Drosophila melanogaster: one gene and its partners. The protein of the gene in region 2 interacts with the protein of the main gene of each other region in a pairwise test. Each region holds a gene or a part of one and is shown on either strand. Other genes may lie near its edges.

Evidence for each region.
Region 1: the proteins of Adk3 (region 2) and Septin4 interact in a two-hybrid assay, tested with the Drosophila melanogaster proteins (one large-scale study listed by BioGRID).
Region 3: the proteins of Adk3 (region 2) and Tre1 interact in a two-hybrid assay, tested with the Drosophila melanogaster proteins (one large-scale study listed by BioGRID).

The regions. Positions count from the first base shown.
Region 1 is NC_004354.4:16,692,143-16,696,717, forward strand, and holds the start of Septin4 (septin 4), read right to left. Parts: upstream 3,032-4,575; 5' UTR 2,976-3,031; exon of another isoform or gene 2,472-2,975; intron 2,278-2,471; exon of another isoform or gene 2,230-2,277; 5' UTR 2,061-2,229; coding exon 1,901-2,060; intron 1-1,900.
Region 2 is NT_033778.4:7,242,486-7,247,422, forward strand, and holds Adk3 (adenosine kinase 3), read right to left. Parts: upstream 3,292-4,937; 5' UTR 2,817-3,291; coding exon 2,737-2,816; intron 2,659-2,736; coding exon 2,503-2,658; intron 2,031-2,502; coding exon 1,166-2,030; 3' UTR 539-1,165; downstream 1-538.
Region 3 is NC_004354.4:5,673,947-5,681,608, forward strand, and holds the start of Tre1 (trapped in endoderm 1), read right to left. Parts: upstream 6,032-7,662; 5' UTR 5,714-6,031; intron 3,013-5,713; exon of another isoform or gene 2,830-3,012; intron 1,539-2,829; 5' UTR 1,538-1,538; coding exon 1,384-1,537; intron 1,312-1,383; coding exon 1,166-1,311; intron 1,095-1,165; coding exon 994-1,094; intron 928-993; coding exon 825-927; intron 764-824; coding exon 276-763; intron 228-275; coding exon 20-227; 3' UTR 1-19. Other genes in the region: Gr5a (gustatory receptor 5a), read left to right, coding at 6,781-6,889, 6,955-7,215, 7,277-7,471, 7,539-7,662. UniProt on the Drosophila melanogaster protein: Essential for the first active step of germ cell migration: transepithelial migration of germ cells through the posterior midgut (PMG) epithelium.

The sequences.
Region 1 (4,575 bases), on a different chromosome or scaffold from region 2:
TATATCCATAATATGCCAATATTTTCAAACTGGCTTACTTGCTATAATTGGCTAGTAAACACTGTATAATCCACTAACAAAATAAAACACCAGTTGAGGTGAGCTCAGTGAAAATTTATAAATATTGCGTTTATCTTATCACGTTTTATTCTAGATGTCTGTATGTAAACATGTGTTTGCTAGTCATTGCTAGCTGAATGAAGTGAGAAAAACTATTGCTCACCAAATTGTGAATCGATTAATAAATGCATATAAAAATATTACACTCCATATGAACCGGCTGGGAATATATTCCAATTGAATTTAATGGATATTAACAAATCTTACTGAGTCATAAATGTCTTAGAACATAAGTGATTAATAATATAATAATAAGTATGATGATAACATCTTGGGATCAATGTAATCTTTTACTTTAAGACGTTACTGTGTTCTTTTAATTTTAATCAAAAATATGACCATTGAGAAGTTATTGAGATAGACATCAAATACAATTGAAAAGCTTATAATTGACCTCGTTTTCTTGCGGTGTAGCATAGTAAACATAGATTCCAATAGGTCGTTCGGCCAAGTTAGGAGGGCCGTAGCCCGATATCGGCGACACAAATGTTCATCGGCCACTAACGACATGTCAACCAGGAGAACCGTTAGCTGCGGTCACGTTGCCCACCGAAGTAACCAAGTTACCAAGTTAAGGCCAATGCCAAGTAGCCAAATGGCCAAGACCAAAGAGCCAAAGACCCAAGGCCCAGACCGATCTGCAATTGGGATTGTGCTGGGTGGTTTTGGGTGCGGCCACACTACACAAGCTGAGAAGTAGGAACAAAATAGAAAACATGGGGCAAAAAAAAAAAAAAAAATAATAATAAAATAAAAACACAGTCTACGCCTACCAAATACGGCAGTCGCAACCAACAACCAACTCAGTCCAAACTCCCCAGTCGAAAAGCCAAGAAAAAGTTGATGAAAAAAATCCAAGGCGAAAGCGAAGCCAAAACAAAGTGAAGTGGGCAAAAAGGAAAGGAAGCCGCCGCCGTCGACTTTCCTCCAAAACCGAAACCAAAACCATCGGAAAATACATACAGTATGTACATATATACATACATATATATTTGTACATATACATACGTAGTTACGGTGGCCAGTCAATTTTCTTGTCGGCGGAAAAGCAGCGAAGTGGGCCCCACGTAATGGGGCAGCCTATCGAGATCCCATATTCCAGATCCCAGTTACCAGATACCGAATGCCAAATACCAGATAAGATCGATCCAGCCAAATGCAATTGGCCCGTGGAAAAAAGGGAACCCAAATGCACTGTAAGCCAAGATGTGGAGTTGTGCCTAAATGTTAATATTATAATATTCCTAACATTCTTTAAACTAATGTCATTCGGTTAACTGGGCCTGTAGCTAATCAACCGCTTATCTTTAAAGGTCGTTCTCGTTATCAATTTGGTATGATAACTTGAGCCATGTTATGATGTAGGCTTCGTTTAGCTATGCATCATAGATATGAGTTACTAAGAAATTAATTAATAATTCCAAATAAAAGCTTAACCGAGCGAAAATGGTGGTGATCTGTTTTATCTTTCGTTGATTGATGATTTCGAAAATCTCACAAACATTACATCATTTCATTACGTTCATATTTCCAGGAATTTTACTGTGTTCAGTATTGTCTTTTTTCAGTCAAATTATGAGAATACCAGAGTTTTCTGGGAATGCGTTTTACGCATTAGAAGTAAGTAGTGCCAATACCAATACAATACAATACAACGGTGAACCCCTTTGTAAACTGCTTCATCAACCCCTTGATGTTTTCGTCTGCTTCTTTTCTGATTTTTTTTTTTTTTTTTTTTTTTACAAATTTGTGTGCAGCATGGAAAGAGGCTTTTACTTACGTTTGGGGTAAATGGGTGGTCGGCATTTAACCGCCTCAATGCCACTGCTGCTGCTGCCGTTCATCGTGCTTATGACGCTGGCCACGCCCCCCGCCGCTGTAGCGCCCATCGTGGGCGGTTGGCTGAGCGGGAGTGGCGGGGGCGGCGGCTGATGCTTCATGGTCGCCGAGGGGGGCACATTGCCGCCGCCGAAGAGGCGACGCTGCGGTAGAAACGCCGTTTTGCCGCTTGTGTTGCAAGTTGCAGGTTGCACAATCCGGTGTTGTTTTATGTTTTTGTTGTTACTGCTGCACGTTGCCAGCTGCTAGTGCTGCCACATTAAATTGACACTAAAAGTTAATATAAAATGGGCAACTAATTTATAACATAGGTAAGTACTGAAAATATATATATTTAGTTTTATTAGCGCATATTAATCGGTTATAGTTGCGATTTTTGGGGGGATTAACTCCCACACTTTAATTACTGTTTCATATTTTTGTTTAATTGTGTTCTATATATTTTTAAACCTCACATTTCATTTGCGTGCAAGTTTGTTGTTCACTAAGGGTTAAGCTTAACAGTAACTTACGTACACATGCTTATCTAGTGCTTATCTCACTCGATGAGGTGCGAGCGGGAGGGAGGGTGGTTGGGAGGCAGGCAGGGTGGGCAGTGCGAAAGAGAGCTACTAACTGCAATATTGACTTTTTAGGGTTTCTGCACACACATATGCATAATATCAAATGCATTTGCGATTGAAAACTGCATAGTCAATGGGTGGAAAACTAACGGTGCAGCTGCTTCACCTTGACCTACACGACCACAAGTAACAGTGAGATGCACAATACACTCACACACACACACACAGCGCCAAATCACCGCTCTTACACACACGAAAAATAATAATAAAAAAAAGGCTCACGCACTTTGTTATTAACTATTTCCGTTGTTTTGGTTTCCTCTTTTTTTTTTGTGGCAAAACGGTATGAAATTTCACCGAAAAAAAAATTGTCGCGGGAAATATTCCAAACTTCTAAGGGAATATTATTTACAATAACAAATATGGTTTTCTGAGCGGAGTTTTGAAACATACACTTTCCGCGCGCTTTTACTGATGCTTCTTCACCGCCGTCGCGTCGAGATCTGATTGCAATTTAGCTCTGCTCTGCTTTTCCATTTCCAAAAACATTCGAACCGAAAATACCAGCAAAAATACCGAACAAATAATACTGCTGGATGAAAGGGTCTTACTTTGCGCCATTTCACTTCAACAACTTTATTCAAACTTGAGCCTCTAAAAGTACATTTGAACAAGAATAAAATTTGTTAAAAATAAGAATGGTATTTAATATGAGTCCATAATAATAATGATATGAGTGCCATTATCTCAAAAACTAGGTAAACATTTTTTATGGCAACTACATTTTTCCTGAAATGTCCTTAAAGAAATGTCCTACGAGTGGAGATATACCCCAAAGAGTGGGGAGTCGATTTTTCTCTAAACTTAGGTCGAACATAGATAGTTAGATCTTTTTTTTTTTAACATTTTTTGCATTTATATTGTTTAGAATTCACCTATAAATAACAAAAGAATATATAAATAAAAAACTGCCCCATGTTCGATATTCCACCGTTCCGGTCAGATATCGTAATTGTATTAATGTTGTTTTTTAAAGAAATTGTATTGTAGACCGAATAGAAACTAGGAAAATGAGAGAGTTTGTTTCTAAACAATATTGTAAAAGTAGTTTACAATATACCTAAAAAATACTGAATACGCAAACTTAGTCTCTCCAATTGTGCACACTGACACAAGCTGGCAGCTGTAAAATTGCAGCGGGTGCTCAAAATGTGCAGGCTGGCAAAAGCAGAATGTCTTGAAAACCAAAAGGTTAAAAGGCTTTTCAAGAAAATTGCTTTTAAAAATTCAAAAACTAAGGAAAAAATTACAAAAAAAATAATTTTAATCAGTGATATAAATGATTAATTGTTTCAAGAAAAACTTTCGTGACTAAAACCCTTTTTCAGCCCGATTGGAGGTCGCAGCATTGGCGGCTGGATTTCTGATTTCTGGCCTCCGTAGCACACGAACAACGCGCCACAAACTCAGTCGAACTTAAACGGCGCTGGCAATCGGACGCGTTTTCGAAAACTCGCTCTCTCTGCGATTTCATTCTGGTTTTTTGGGAAAGTGTAAGCTCGATGAGATGAAAAGAAGAATCCATTGAAACGCGTAAATCTTCCTTTGTCAATTTGTCAAGCTCGCGGCATATTTGTTTCAACAAGTTTTCAGTGCTAATTTGTTTAATCGCGTAGGCTCAAAGAGAAACTACCCAAAAAAAGAGGGAGAACTTTGTTTTGCTTTCTGTTTGTTTGCATTTTTTTTATGTGCTCGAAATTGAAGCCCGGCAATGGCAGCCGCCTGGAACAATGAAAGTTGATTGAATATTTTATGCAAATTTCCCATTGCAGAAAAAAAGGTGCGAAGAACAACGAGAACAACAACAACAACAACAACATCAACGGCAGCTGCAAGAATAATAATAGAAATTGCTGTCGAGCAGAAAACTGGAAATCCAAAGGCAGCAGCAAGAAATCAGGTGAATACCGAATACCTGTCTGTTTCTCGTGGGAAAGTTTAAGATCAAGGCCAGGGGGCCTTACCAGAATGGGCTGGATTGGGCGGACATGGG
Region 2 (4,937 bases):
AGCTGGGAGAGGCCCAGGCCTTGGCCTGCTTACACAAGCATGCCAAATGCGGCTTAGTTTTTGTTAACGATTCGCAAACATGTGGCCCAAACCCCAAGCCAAACCCCACGGCCAGCACAAAGGCGGAATTCGCTTTGATGGCATCTGTGCATGCGAGTTCTCTTTGGGCCAAGTCGTCACTTATTGACTGACTTGTGTGGGATGTACGCGGTCCATATAAGATGGATGAAACGAGAATCGCTTCTTTGCGGATAATAAAGCATCTCGAGGAATGCGCATAAAGATGTGTACTAGGGCATCTCAGGGGGAATTAAGTGTGTGATAACGGATTCGGATGACGATTCACACAATGCCACAGTCCAGTGGGAACTTCGGCGATCGAGTGAATAACACAGTCGTATTAATAAGGCTATCGAGGTCGAACAATCACCAGCTGTACTTACTTTTTTATATATATGCTCTCATTTCTTAATGAATAATTAATACGTGATTTTACATATAAAGGTATACCTAAATAACGACGGCCTGTGTCAAAAATGATTTACTTATGTTTGCTCAAATAATGAAGTATGAATAATGGTATATCTAAGAAAGTATTACAGCGAAATTAATAATTTGTAAGCATTCAACCCACTGTGCGCAAAACAATGCTCTCGAATCTATATTTAACCATTAAAAAGAGTCTTCCGGTGATTTCATGGCATGGCTTGATTAGACGTGGGCACATTTTACCCTATTTCACTTTTTATCTTTGCGCTCTTCTGAAGGTCAACGCAAATTCTTAATGGCAATGTGCTACAAATAGATACATATGTACTGGTTTTAGATAAATCTGTTTTGTCTTTTGAGAAAGCAACATCTGTTTACATAGAACTATCAAAAGATATTTAAATGTTAAAAAATTGCATACAATAGGAATCTCGCTATATATATTATAAAATGTAGTCACATATAGTCACTCAGAAATATTATTATCTTTCATAGGACGATGTATAAATCATTTTTATTTAGTCACATTATGACTAAGTTCATTGCTTGGGTGAAATGGTGGACAAATGTTTGACTAAGCCTAAGGTTTGGGGAGATTACCGGAATAATTACAAGCTAAGAGTCTACTTTGGTGCTTTGTTGTGCGCTATCTGAGGTGGCGATGCACGGCGTCGGTCTAGGGCAGATTGCAGCCCACCTGGGTGACGACCTTGGCGGCTACGCTGGAGGCCATTCGGATGCACTCGCCCAGCGAGCGCTTCTCCAGCCAGGCGTGCAAGAATCCGGCCACAAAAGCATCTCCGGCCCCAGTGGCATCCACCAGCTGCTCTACGCGCTGCGCCCTGAAGTCCTCAAAGCTTACGGGTCCGGGAGGAGCCAGCTCCTCCACGTAGTTGGTGATCACCTGGACGCCGGCACTGCCGTTGGTGACGAAGATGACCTTGGTGCCACCGGATTGCAGGAGATGATCCGCCAGTTCGTCGACGTTTCGGAACCCACCCGCAGCCTCGGCCAGCGCCTCGAACTCCTGTCGGTTTCCGAACAGGAAGAAGGCGGCCCGGGCCAGCTTCATCATAGCCTGGTGATTTTTCCTCACAATGTAGGGTGCACTGAGATTGAGAGCCAGGCGTCGCCGCTCCCGCACCAGGTGCTGCACTATGTAATCGCACACATCACTCCTCTGGGGCACAAAGAAGCCCTCCACGTACAGGATTTGCTTGCGCTCCACCGGTCGCAGGAAGCTCTGGCCTTCGTGGCTGACGGCGTGGCTCAGGGTCTGCACCTCGAACTGAGCCGAGGCGCCGATGTTGGCGTACAGCGTGGGGTTGTCCTGATACATGAGGCACACGCACTGCCCTGTGTGCGCATCCTCGACGGTCTGCAGCCTGGCCTCGATGCCGCGATCCCGAATGATCTGGCGCAGCTCCTCGGCGTGCTTGTCGGCTCCCACGGCGCCAAAGAAGAGCGCGTCTGTGCCCAGCTGCTTCAGGATGCGGGCAGTGTTGAGGGCAGAGCCACCCGGGTTTGTAAGGCACCGAGAGCTGAATTGGATTGAACTCGGATTAGTAAGTATAGCTTTGCAAAGGTTGTTTATTATGTATGTATGTAGTTACTAACTAAACCCTTGTAATTTTAGAATAACCGTGTAACTTTGCCATTTTCCATTTCCTACTTCGTAAGACGATTTCGTACAGGTATAAAAACCAGTTTTGCTGTCATTAGAGATTAGAAAGAAGGCCCTTCTTAACTTCTTAAGTAAAGATTGATTGTTGTGTACAAAAGTGCTATGTATAAACAGCCTTTGTAGCCCCAGTCCTATTTGTTGTTCATTCTTTGTATCTTTTCACAATTTCTTTGAAAGGTGATACTAATTATACTTGCAAGACCTTAACTATACTACTTATATGTAAAATCAGTCTAACTAAAAACCATAACTTGGGTCCAATTGTACAATTTCTTACAATCAGTCATTGAAGATAATGAAACAATCGGGCAAGATACAAAGGTACTCACCTCTCAGAAGCCTCCGCTGCCAGCTGGTTGAGTTTCTCCATGTCCAGTTCACCCTTGGAGCCCAGTTCCAGGCCGAACCGCTCCAGGAGTTGGGGATCCTCGAGCTGGACTAGTCGGTCGAGCAGGACGTTGCCGAAGCAGATGACCTTGCGGGGCCTGAAAGTGGGAAAGCCCAATGGTCAGAGGTGTTTTCTGCCGGGTTTTTCCGCCTCAGCTGCTACTGCTGATACTCACGTGTGGAAAGCCCCTTGCGTGTCATCCGTGGGAGGATTGCCCCCGAAGATTTTTTCGTACACGTAGCTCAGGTACTCCATTGTATGCAAAAACTAACGCTTGCTCGGGACTTTCGCGTTCTATTCGCAAGTGCTCCGGATGAAATGAAATCCAACAGTGATCCGCCGCTTTTGTCGTCCGGCACAGAACTGAACGCTCGGGCCGGTTTGTCCCGGTGTTTTTATCTCGCTCTCGCCAGCGTGCTCGATTTGTTTTTTCCCATTTCGGGCAATTTGTTTGGGCCAACTTCTTTTTACCTTTGTATCGAGCGGCCTACAAAGAGCAGCTTGACTTTTTCGACTTTTTTGACTTTGTCGAGTTTTTCAACAACACAGAGCTTTTGGCACTGCGCTGGCGCTCAGATTGTGGCTATCGTACTTGGCGGCGGCACTATGGTGACTCAAAGTCGCGCTCCACAAATGCCATCGAGTTATCCCTAATGACTATTTTATAATTTATGCGACTTAATTGTTTAGCGTATTACATAAATATTGCGTGTAATATTCAGACGTTTGCCAACACTTCAGTGCGGAAGAAACAGCTGTGAGCGTGTTTTGTTTACAGGGAAGAAGAAGCATAATTGAGTGCAAGAAAAGCTCTGCCGGCGAAAAAAGCACTAATCGGGTAAAAGCTTAGGAATCGAAAGAGCCAGAGAGAACTTGACAGAGCTGTCATCCGGCGCGAACAAATCGAACCGGTTATGTCAGATAGAAATTTTAAAAATTTTCTTTGTAAATAAATAAAAATCGAAGTATCTGTAAACATATACATTGAAATTACCTGAGCTCTAGTAACAACTCTTTAAAAAGTAGAGAACCTTACAATTGGAATATATAACGAAATACACACATTTTGCGGAAATGTTATGGCTTTCTTTCAGTTTCAGCTTTGTTTGCCCTCCTTTTTTTTTAATTTCACCAGGTTCTCAAAACAAGTTTACCATCGTGCAAAGAATTCAGCCCTGCAAGTGATGTACATCTGCCCACCAGCGAGCAGCTGAATCATTTCGCCATTATTCGAAAGGCGCTGCCAAATGTTTCGCAATATTATTTAATGCGAGACAAGACCTAATTATTTGGAAAGAACGTTGCTCGCTCAGATAACCGAAACTCCCTTGCCAAAAGCCCCACGATAAATAAGAGAATACATTATGGTATCTGGTTTGGAGTGGGAAAAACCACGCATCGAAAAAATAAACTGCACTGCATTGGGGGTTTTTCGCAGAGAACTCTTTTGGAAACTGGGTTTTCCCTGCAGCCAATCGCAGCCAAATGGGAAATCCCCCAGCATAGCCGCACTGCATACAAAATTGCACCTTGGAGACCTCCACGCCGGCGCGAGATATCTCGTTTTCCAGCGTGATGCTGGTGCACGTGAGGATTCGGGCGGCATTCATCGGCCATTCATGGTGGCTTGGTGACCGGTTGCAGGTACTCAGACTTGCGGACTTTGGACCGGCCTAAAATGGAATGCCGATAGCCGAATGCCGAATGTGGGGGAACTCTTCAAAAACCAGTTCCCACTCTCTTTTGACTCTTTGACTCATTTGGCTCTTCGCTTGGCATTTGGGTTTCGGTTTGGGTTTGGGCCCAGTTTAGTGCTGCGCCGGCGTGACTCAGCAGTGGGGCAACCGCCGGCGAAGTGCCTCCGATCCATGCCCGATCACTCCGTGGGCTCCACGATTCTCCCTCGAAATAAGCCAGCAATGAAATCCATCCAATGTGGTGGCTTCACATGTGATGGGCGCATGTTGCACACACAACTGGGTGGCATGGCACACAAAAGCAACGGGCAGAGGTGCCATTGAAGTCCCACGCAAAAGGCTAAAAATATCTGAATTCCTTGGGTTCGATTGTGACGTGCGGATCAAGCTGGATGAAGAACCAAAACTTCTAATCCGCACGTTCGCCGCAGCAATAGAAAATGCTGTAGTGGTGCCCTTTATGCACTTGTGACAACTCGAATTCCGCGCTGGAATGACAAGGCAATAGTTTTATTTTCTGTCACTGCAAATGCGTATTTAAGTAATAGATATGCATATTTGTTATAAAACAAGCTAAAATGGTACTCACTAGTATGATTATCTTGAAAAATATCACATGGGGTTAGAAACGGTAAAATAAGCAATTTTTAAGTACTACGATTAGTATAATTTGCGTATA
Region 3 (7,662 bases), on a different chromosome or scaffold from region 2:
CTCTCGACTGCGAGCTCGATCATACTGAATATGTTTGGCACATTTGGTTAATACTATTCTTCTGCACAGCGTGAAACAGCGGCGTGCTGCGGATGACGCCCGACAGCTCCTTGGAGTTCTTGCTTTGGTGATAGTTTCTACTCGGCATCGGCGACAACGGTTCGCCCCAGAACTTGAGCAGCGCAAAGATCTTGTAGTAGGCCACTCTGAAATAGAAGATAGATTCGCTATTAGCAGCTAAACCCGATAGCAGCCAAAACTGCCAGCAAACTTACCTGTAGTTGCGATTGCTGGCCGCATAGATGATCGGGTTAATGACACTGGAAGCCCAGGCCATCACGGAGGCGATGATGTGCAGCCAGGGGTACGAGGTATTGCGCTCGTCGTCCACCACATTGGCCAGCATTAGCGGCAGGAAGCAGACGAGGAAGCACAGAAAGATGGTGACCATCATGACGGTCAGTCGATTGTCTTCGCGCGCCTTGCGCGTGCATGTGGTGGTCATGTAGGATCCGCCGCCGGACGACGAGGAGCCCTTGGCCGCTGCGATCTGGAAGTTATCGTGGTTGCGAATCTTCTTTTTCTGGTGCAGCACCGTAATGTAGATGCACGAGTACGAAACGATGATCACCAGGCAAGGCAGCAGGAAGCCGATCACGAACAGCGTCTTCTTGATCGATCGCCCCTCCTTCTTGAGTATTGTGCAGGAGAAGGTGGCCTCGTCCAGGCCCATCTCGCCCCAGATGCCCAATATGGGCGGCAGCTGGGAAGATAAAAACCGATTAGTTGAATGTGTGCACACAAATCGAAGACGCCTTACTTACCAACAGCAGAAAGGAGACGGCCCAAACGAACAACAGCTGCAGGGTTATGAACTTAGGCTTATATATCTGCGAGTAGCGGCTGTGGCAAGCGATGAGTATATATCTGCCAGGGGATTAGGGTGACGGTTGCGGATTAGCTTGCGACAATGCGGACTAGACTTGGGCCTACCTGTTCAGGGTGATGCCCACCATGCTGAGGAGTGAAACAGCCACATTGCCATAGAAGATCACCGGAAAGATCTTGCACAATGTGGTACCAAAAGTCCAGCTCTGTCGTTGGAATCGAGCAAATTATAATCATTCACTAATTGTATATTACATTCACAGGTATAATGACTCACCTCCTGGAAGAATCGCACTGCGGTCAGTGGCAGGCTGAAGGAGCAGAAGAGCAGGTCGGAGATGCTTAGCGAAATGACGAAGGCGGTTGTGGCATGCTCCCGTATCGTGGGGCTCTTGAGCAGCGCCAGCAGGGTAATCAGGTTGCCTGTGCGGCAATTCAGCATAGAGAAACAGGTTAGCTAATCGAGGAGCTGAATGTGGGATGCCAATTACTCACCAAGAACGCCGATCGTCACAAAGACACAGGCACTAATGGCCGCGAATAATGTCGCCGAATGCGGGTAGATCGATTGCGTGGCGGCCGCCGGTTCATCCATCTGCATGTCTGCGTCCTGAAAGTAGCCCGTTGCCATGCCCATGTCCTGATCCATTCTGCGGGGGAAACAAGCAAACGATGTGATTAGCCAATTTCAATTACTTATTTTTGAACAGGAAAAGGAGCTGTATCTTTTAAATTGGTTGCATTCAAATCGCTTATGCTAATCCTATTGTTTTTTTTTTTTTAATTTGTTAGCCCGTATCATGAGTAATTAAAAAGGAAGTTAATAGCCGGATGTAGACAACTCAATATGCATCCGCTTGGTTATTTGAAAACAATTAACTTATGAAGAGAAATGAATGAAATTACCATTCCTAATTGCCCAGAAGCATGATGCTTTTGTTAAGAAGGGATTGTTAAGAATTTAACTATCTAAACGAACTAATGTGTACATTTCTGTGCTCCGCGATAAAGGAAATGTAATCAGCAAAATCAAGTTTCAGGCGCGTGGAAAATCTGTGAATGAATGAACGTACGAGTAATACAAAAAGATAACTAATCACCGCTTTGCGGATGCAATAGCCCAGTTTTGTCGTCGGTGACACCGAGTAAAAACCCGATCCGATCGACGGGATTAGCGAGGAAGTCTGCGTACTCCCACCAGCTTATCGCATCCGAGACATTTGATTTATGTAAACGGATTTTGTTATAAGATTTCTGCCGAGCCAAGCTGGCCAACTGGCGAATCGTAATGATCGAGCCGGTTTGCACGCCATTTGAATTCACATTTGTACGAATTTTTTTTTTATCAAAAGTTCGAGTTTTTCACCAATTTCCTCATCAACCGAGCAAGGCAAACGGCTTTGAATAATATGGTGTTATATATACATATATCAAATCGCTGCTGACTGCGTGATTGATGGCCCCAAGATTACATATTATCGAATCAGGATTCAGAAGGAGATCAATGTCAAATGCGGACAGGAACATGAGAGACGCCTGTTATGCGCAATTAAAAATTTGGGTTTAATTGCTGTGGAAACTGTTGTTGGTGGCATCTTAAGTTCCTGTTTAACAACATCAACTACTTATGTACGTAGAAGCGTTTAAGCCATTTGCATACAGATGAGAACTGGCTTTTGTGCTAATCAGCCAAGATGACTCCGATGATGATGACTCATTACCTGACCAGTTTTCGCTGCTTTCTTTTCAACAACTACTTGTATATGTATTGTATCCAATAGCAATACATTGGATTTCCATGGTCTAGTCACGTATTATCATTTAATTGACGCCAAGTCGTGTTATTGTTGAGCTATCGAGTTCAGCTCAAACATTTCTTATTCCCATGAATAAGCCGGCAAAAATATGCAATCTATGAAAGTTAATATAAGCAAACCTTACTTTGACTCAATACCAATGCACTTTGTGTCGATAGGTTCACGCAATTGAGGCGATTATTCCGATAACCCAAGCGATTGACTGTTCCCGTTTCGATTCCAATTGAAATTTGGAAATGTACAATAGTTTTGCTATATGCTGTCAAGTACGCTCTTATCTTCTCTGGGTTTTCTTCAGAGTTTCGAAACGCTTCTTCTTTTTTTTGTTTTTTTTTTTTTGGAATCTCGTATTTTGGAAGGGGCTCCCCTCTGGAATTTGTTACACTGTCGTTATCATTGCGAACAAGCGGCCCGAAGCTATCAGCGACTTTAACATTTACAATGCACTTTTTTACGACCAATTAAATGTACATTTTCCTTTCTTCGCCCGTTGATAAGCGAACGCGATGTGGCGCAGGCAATGTGTTGCTCTTGCGACACAAACGCAATCAAAATGGATTCAATTTCGCTTTTTCCCAGTGAAACGAAGAACGAACCGACCATCATGATATGCTGCTCTGCATGTTGCGTATTGAATCAATGACAATTTCAATTAAGCCGCCCGTTCGTCATGCGTTTTCGTGGGCTTCGAAATGCTGATAACGCTGCTGTCCTCCAACTGCTTTGCATGTGGACACAATTCCATTTATTTAATTCTTTTATTTGGATCGGTTAAATTAAAAAGCGCCTTGTTACGCATTTAACGTTGTTTCCGGTGCGTGGTGGTTTCATGCTTCTGGGAACGGCAAATGGGTTTAGGATTGGGAACCCCTCATCATCCGTCCAAATATGGGGAGTTCAAGGAATGGAGGGGGGAGGGGGGGAGGGGGCGGAGCAGCGGTCCGCTTTCATGCATGATCAACATGTGTGTTTGTTTTCCAACTCTATGTGAGTTGTTTCAGTTCTTTTCGGTCTCCTCGGTTCTACTCAGTTCGTTCTTACTTTCTGGCTTTTGTTTCCGAATAGGGGGAGCGCATCGGGCCGCAACTGGAAATGGAAATCTGAATATGCATCCCGGAGCATCCCGTCCGAAATGAGCACCATGCGCCATGCCGTTTCGTTTAATTCCCTACCCATAAATGCGTGTCCAAACAGCAGAGGGCATTTCAAGAGGTCCAACTATTAGCTATGTGCATATATAATTCTCTAGATATATTAATTCAGCTAAAGTGCTAACCGCGAGTGTGCCGCCAGTTGCCCCTCAACAGTTTGCAACGATGATGATGGCACAGATATCAGAGATAACACTCAGATCGCGCCCCTCACAAGTATGCTCATTATGTACATTCATATGTACATATGTACACACAGCTAAGCACATAAGGAATACGATATGCGCTATGTACATATATACATATTTACATCAAAGTCTTATCAGCCTCGGGTTCCCACCGTCCAAAAAAAAAGGCGGAACGAAGCTTTATAAATAATCAATCAACAAATATTTACAATCAAGTATTTATGTAGCGGGCGGAAAGTCGAATGCAAATAAGGTTAGACGCATTTGTACATATGTATTTTCTTAAAGGGTTCCTCTGATCAATATCTGCCCGTTTTTATCTAGCCCCGTTTATAAGGCTGTGAATGCCCCGATTGTGTTGGTCGTGATATCAATTAAATCGGCATAATCTCATGTCATCTTTTTAAACATTATGATAGATAAAATGTATTATAACGACTCTAATTACATTGGGATTAAATGGGTTTTCGGAAAATACCTATGCAGTAAATCAAATTTAAGATCAATGTGCAGTTATTTGGGGTTTCTTGAGTTAGGACCTCTGTTTTAATATTGAGAATTACTCGATATTATCTTCCGTTTTATTTTATTTTCTGATCGTGTCGGTGCACGAGAAATACATATTTCCCACTTTTGTTGCATTTCGCTGACTAATCGAAAGCTAAATACCAAATAAGTTTCCGATATGGGGGGTATGTATGTACATACATACATATATAGTACGAGTATATATAATATACACTGAATAAGCCCGAGCATACATATGTACATATGTAGATAGTGCACATGTGTATTGTGGATCGTTTTGGAGCTGGGTTTTTCTTTGCTTTTCGTCGTTTTTAAGAGACTTGAGCTGAATGAGTCGCTACCAACTGTTGCGGTGGGTTAAAGGGTGGGGGGAGGGGGCGAATGGGGATGGGGGATGAAGATGATGATTCATGCAGCTGATGTTTGGACAGGGAAGAAAGAAAGAGCGAAAGAGAAAGCAAATCGGAAGCGGCGGTATCAAACAATCTGTTTAAATAACAACAAAAGACTTTATAAGCCTGACTTTCATTTCCATTTCCAATTTATTTTTCCCAAGTCTGGCTCATTTTGTGCAAATAAACAAATGACTCATTTGTTTAAAAATTCGATGAGACTCAAGGAATGTCACATTCACAAAAATTTTCAATTTGAAATCTGAAAAGATTCAACAGCATAAGCAAATGAATTTAAGATTGCGATATTTGGGTATTATCCTTAATTGGCTGGCTGCCTAATGTAGATTTGTTTTTCTCGGTGTACCGATGCATCCTCTTTGCCCATCCACTTCTTTCTCCCCTCTTTGCTGATTTTTTTTTTTTTTGTTTTGTGAGAGGGTGGAATTCGGGATTTGGGATGTGAGCGAGAAGGATGGCCATATTTTGAATTGTGGAAACAGCCGTTCCATTATCGTTCCATTACAAATGCACACACACACACACACACACGCGCGCGTGCAGTTTGCGCTTCTCTGTGTGTGCGTTTGGACCAAATGCAATAACAATAAAAACGCGCAACTCAAATTGTTAACAAAGGTAAGGCCGTTTTTTTGGCCGGATTTGGATTCTGGTCTTGAAAGAGAAACACACACACACACACACGCACGCAAAAAACCAACGAAAATAATAACAAAACAACAACTCACCCGAACTCGAACCCGTTTCACTGTTTTCCGCTTATTATAAATTTATACTTCGTTTGGCGTTTCTTAAATGCTTTCGAATTGCATTTTGGATTTGACATTAAATCGCTCCGCGCAGCACAGTAACAAAAATAAACGGAACAAAATAAATACAACCAGCCGATTCTGGCCTTCTCACAATTCCGACTTTTGAATTATCGAAACAGAAGCGCTGCTTGGGCCAACTAAGCCAACTTAACTAACCGATCGCAGAGCGCAAAGTGTCGTATTTTCACTGTCGTCAATTAACAACAGCGGCAACAAGAACAACAAACGAAATGAGCGGCTGGGCTACAGTTTTTTAGTCCGAGCGCGATCGAACATGTTGGCTGCCTGGCAACAAGTTCGATGCGAACTTTTCTATTGATCTAAGAAATCGGCGTTCTATCGATTGACGCGCTGCGCAGGCGCCTATCGATTTTTGAAATTCTAAGCCCGCCTTAAAGGATATTTGTAGAAAAGTAGCTTGCAAAGAAATTAAATTCCTTGAAATAAAAAAGAAATTTAGTACTCTCGTTCTATACTCACTTCTATTCACTTGCGGTTAGTTAGTTAGTTTTTAATGCCACATTTTTATGATGATGACTTTTTTTCAGCTCATCTATGCGCAATCAATTTTGCGCCAAGCGACAGCTGCACATAGTTTCTTTTGACCAAGCAATCATTTATCATATAATTTTCCAAGTAGTAGTGCCAAGTTCATAACTGATGGAGTGTGCTGCCAATTTGCATGTTGTGGAGCCATTCAGTTTCAAGGTCGCGCTAATTAAATACTCGTTACAAGTGATGCCAAATGTATAAATATTTGAACAGAACGTATTAAATTAATATTATCCACTAAGAGCACTATTTTAAATTCTTAAAAACCAGATGCACGTCAAATAGATGTACATAAAAAGTATATTTACTTACAAATATCATACACGGACCTGTTTTATTCCTCATCACTGGCCATTAGTTGATAACATGTGGACTTCTATGATATCCTGCTGCATTTTTGCCGTTTAGTCAGGATTTAGAGCTTGTACACAATGCGACAGCTGAAAGGGCGAAATCGGTGCAATCGTGCTGTTCGGCATCTGAAAGTTCAGGGCAAGATGTGGTTGAAAAATCTTAAAAGCGGTTTGGAACAAATTCGAGGTGAATCTATCCAAATCGTTAGAATCCCATGAGTACGTTCATCTTAATTACCTTTTACAATCCAGAAAGCCAGGTGCGGGGAACGCGAAAGAACTTCCTACACGATGGCTCCTTCCATGAGGCAGTTGCTCCAGTTCTGGCGGTGGCCCAGTGCTTTTGCCTAATGCCCGTGTGTGGAATCAGTGCTCCAACGTACAGGGGATTAAGCTTCAATCGGCGCAGCTGGCGATTCTGGTACAGCTCCTTGTACCTCTGCTCCACGTCGGTGGATCTGGCCTTCAGCATTCGCCGTGTGGCCCACAGTGTGCTGGATGTGCGCAGTGTGGGTGAGATTAAATGATGCTTTTCTTCGCAACATACCAATTGCATATGTTAATTACCATTTAGAGCCCATCGTTTTTCACGTTAGCATCCTGATCGCCTCCTGGCAGTTCCTGAACCTGGCCCAACTCTGGCCTGGATTGATGCGCCACTGGGCGGCGGTGGAGCGACGGCTACCGGGCTACACCTGTTGCCTGCAACGTGCTCGTCCTGCCCGTCGCCTCAAGTTGGTGGCCTTCGTGCTGCTGGTAGTTTCACTGAGTTGGGTCACCAAATTTGTTTGGGTTTGGATTTCGCTGAGTATAACCGGGCGTGCTTTTTTTTCCAGTGGAACACCTGCTGAGCATCATTTCGGTGGTTTACTACGACTTCTGCCCACGAAGAAGCGATCCCGTGGAATCCTATTTGCTTGGCGCCAGTGCCCAGTTATTCGAAGTGTTCCCCTACTCCAA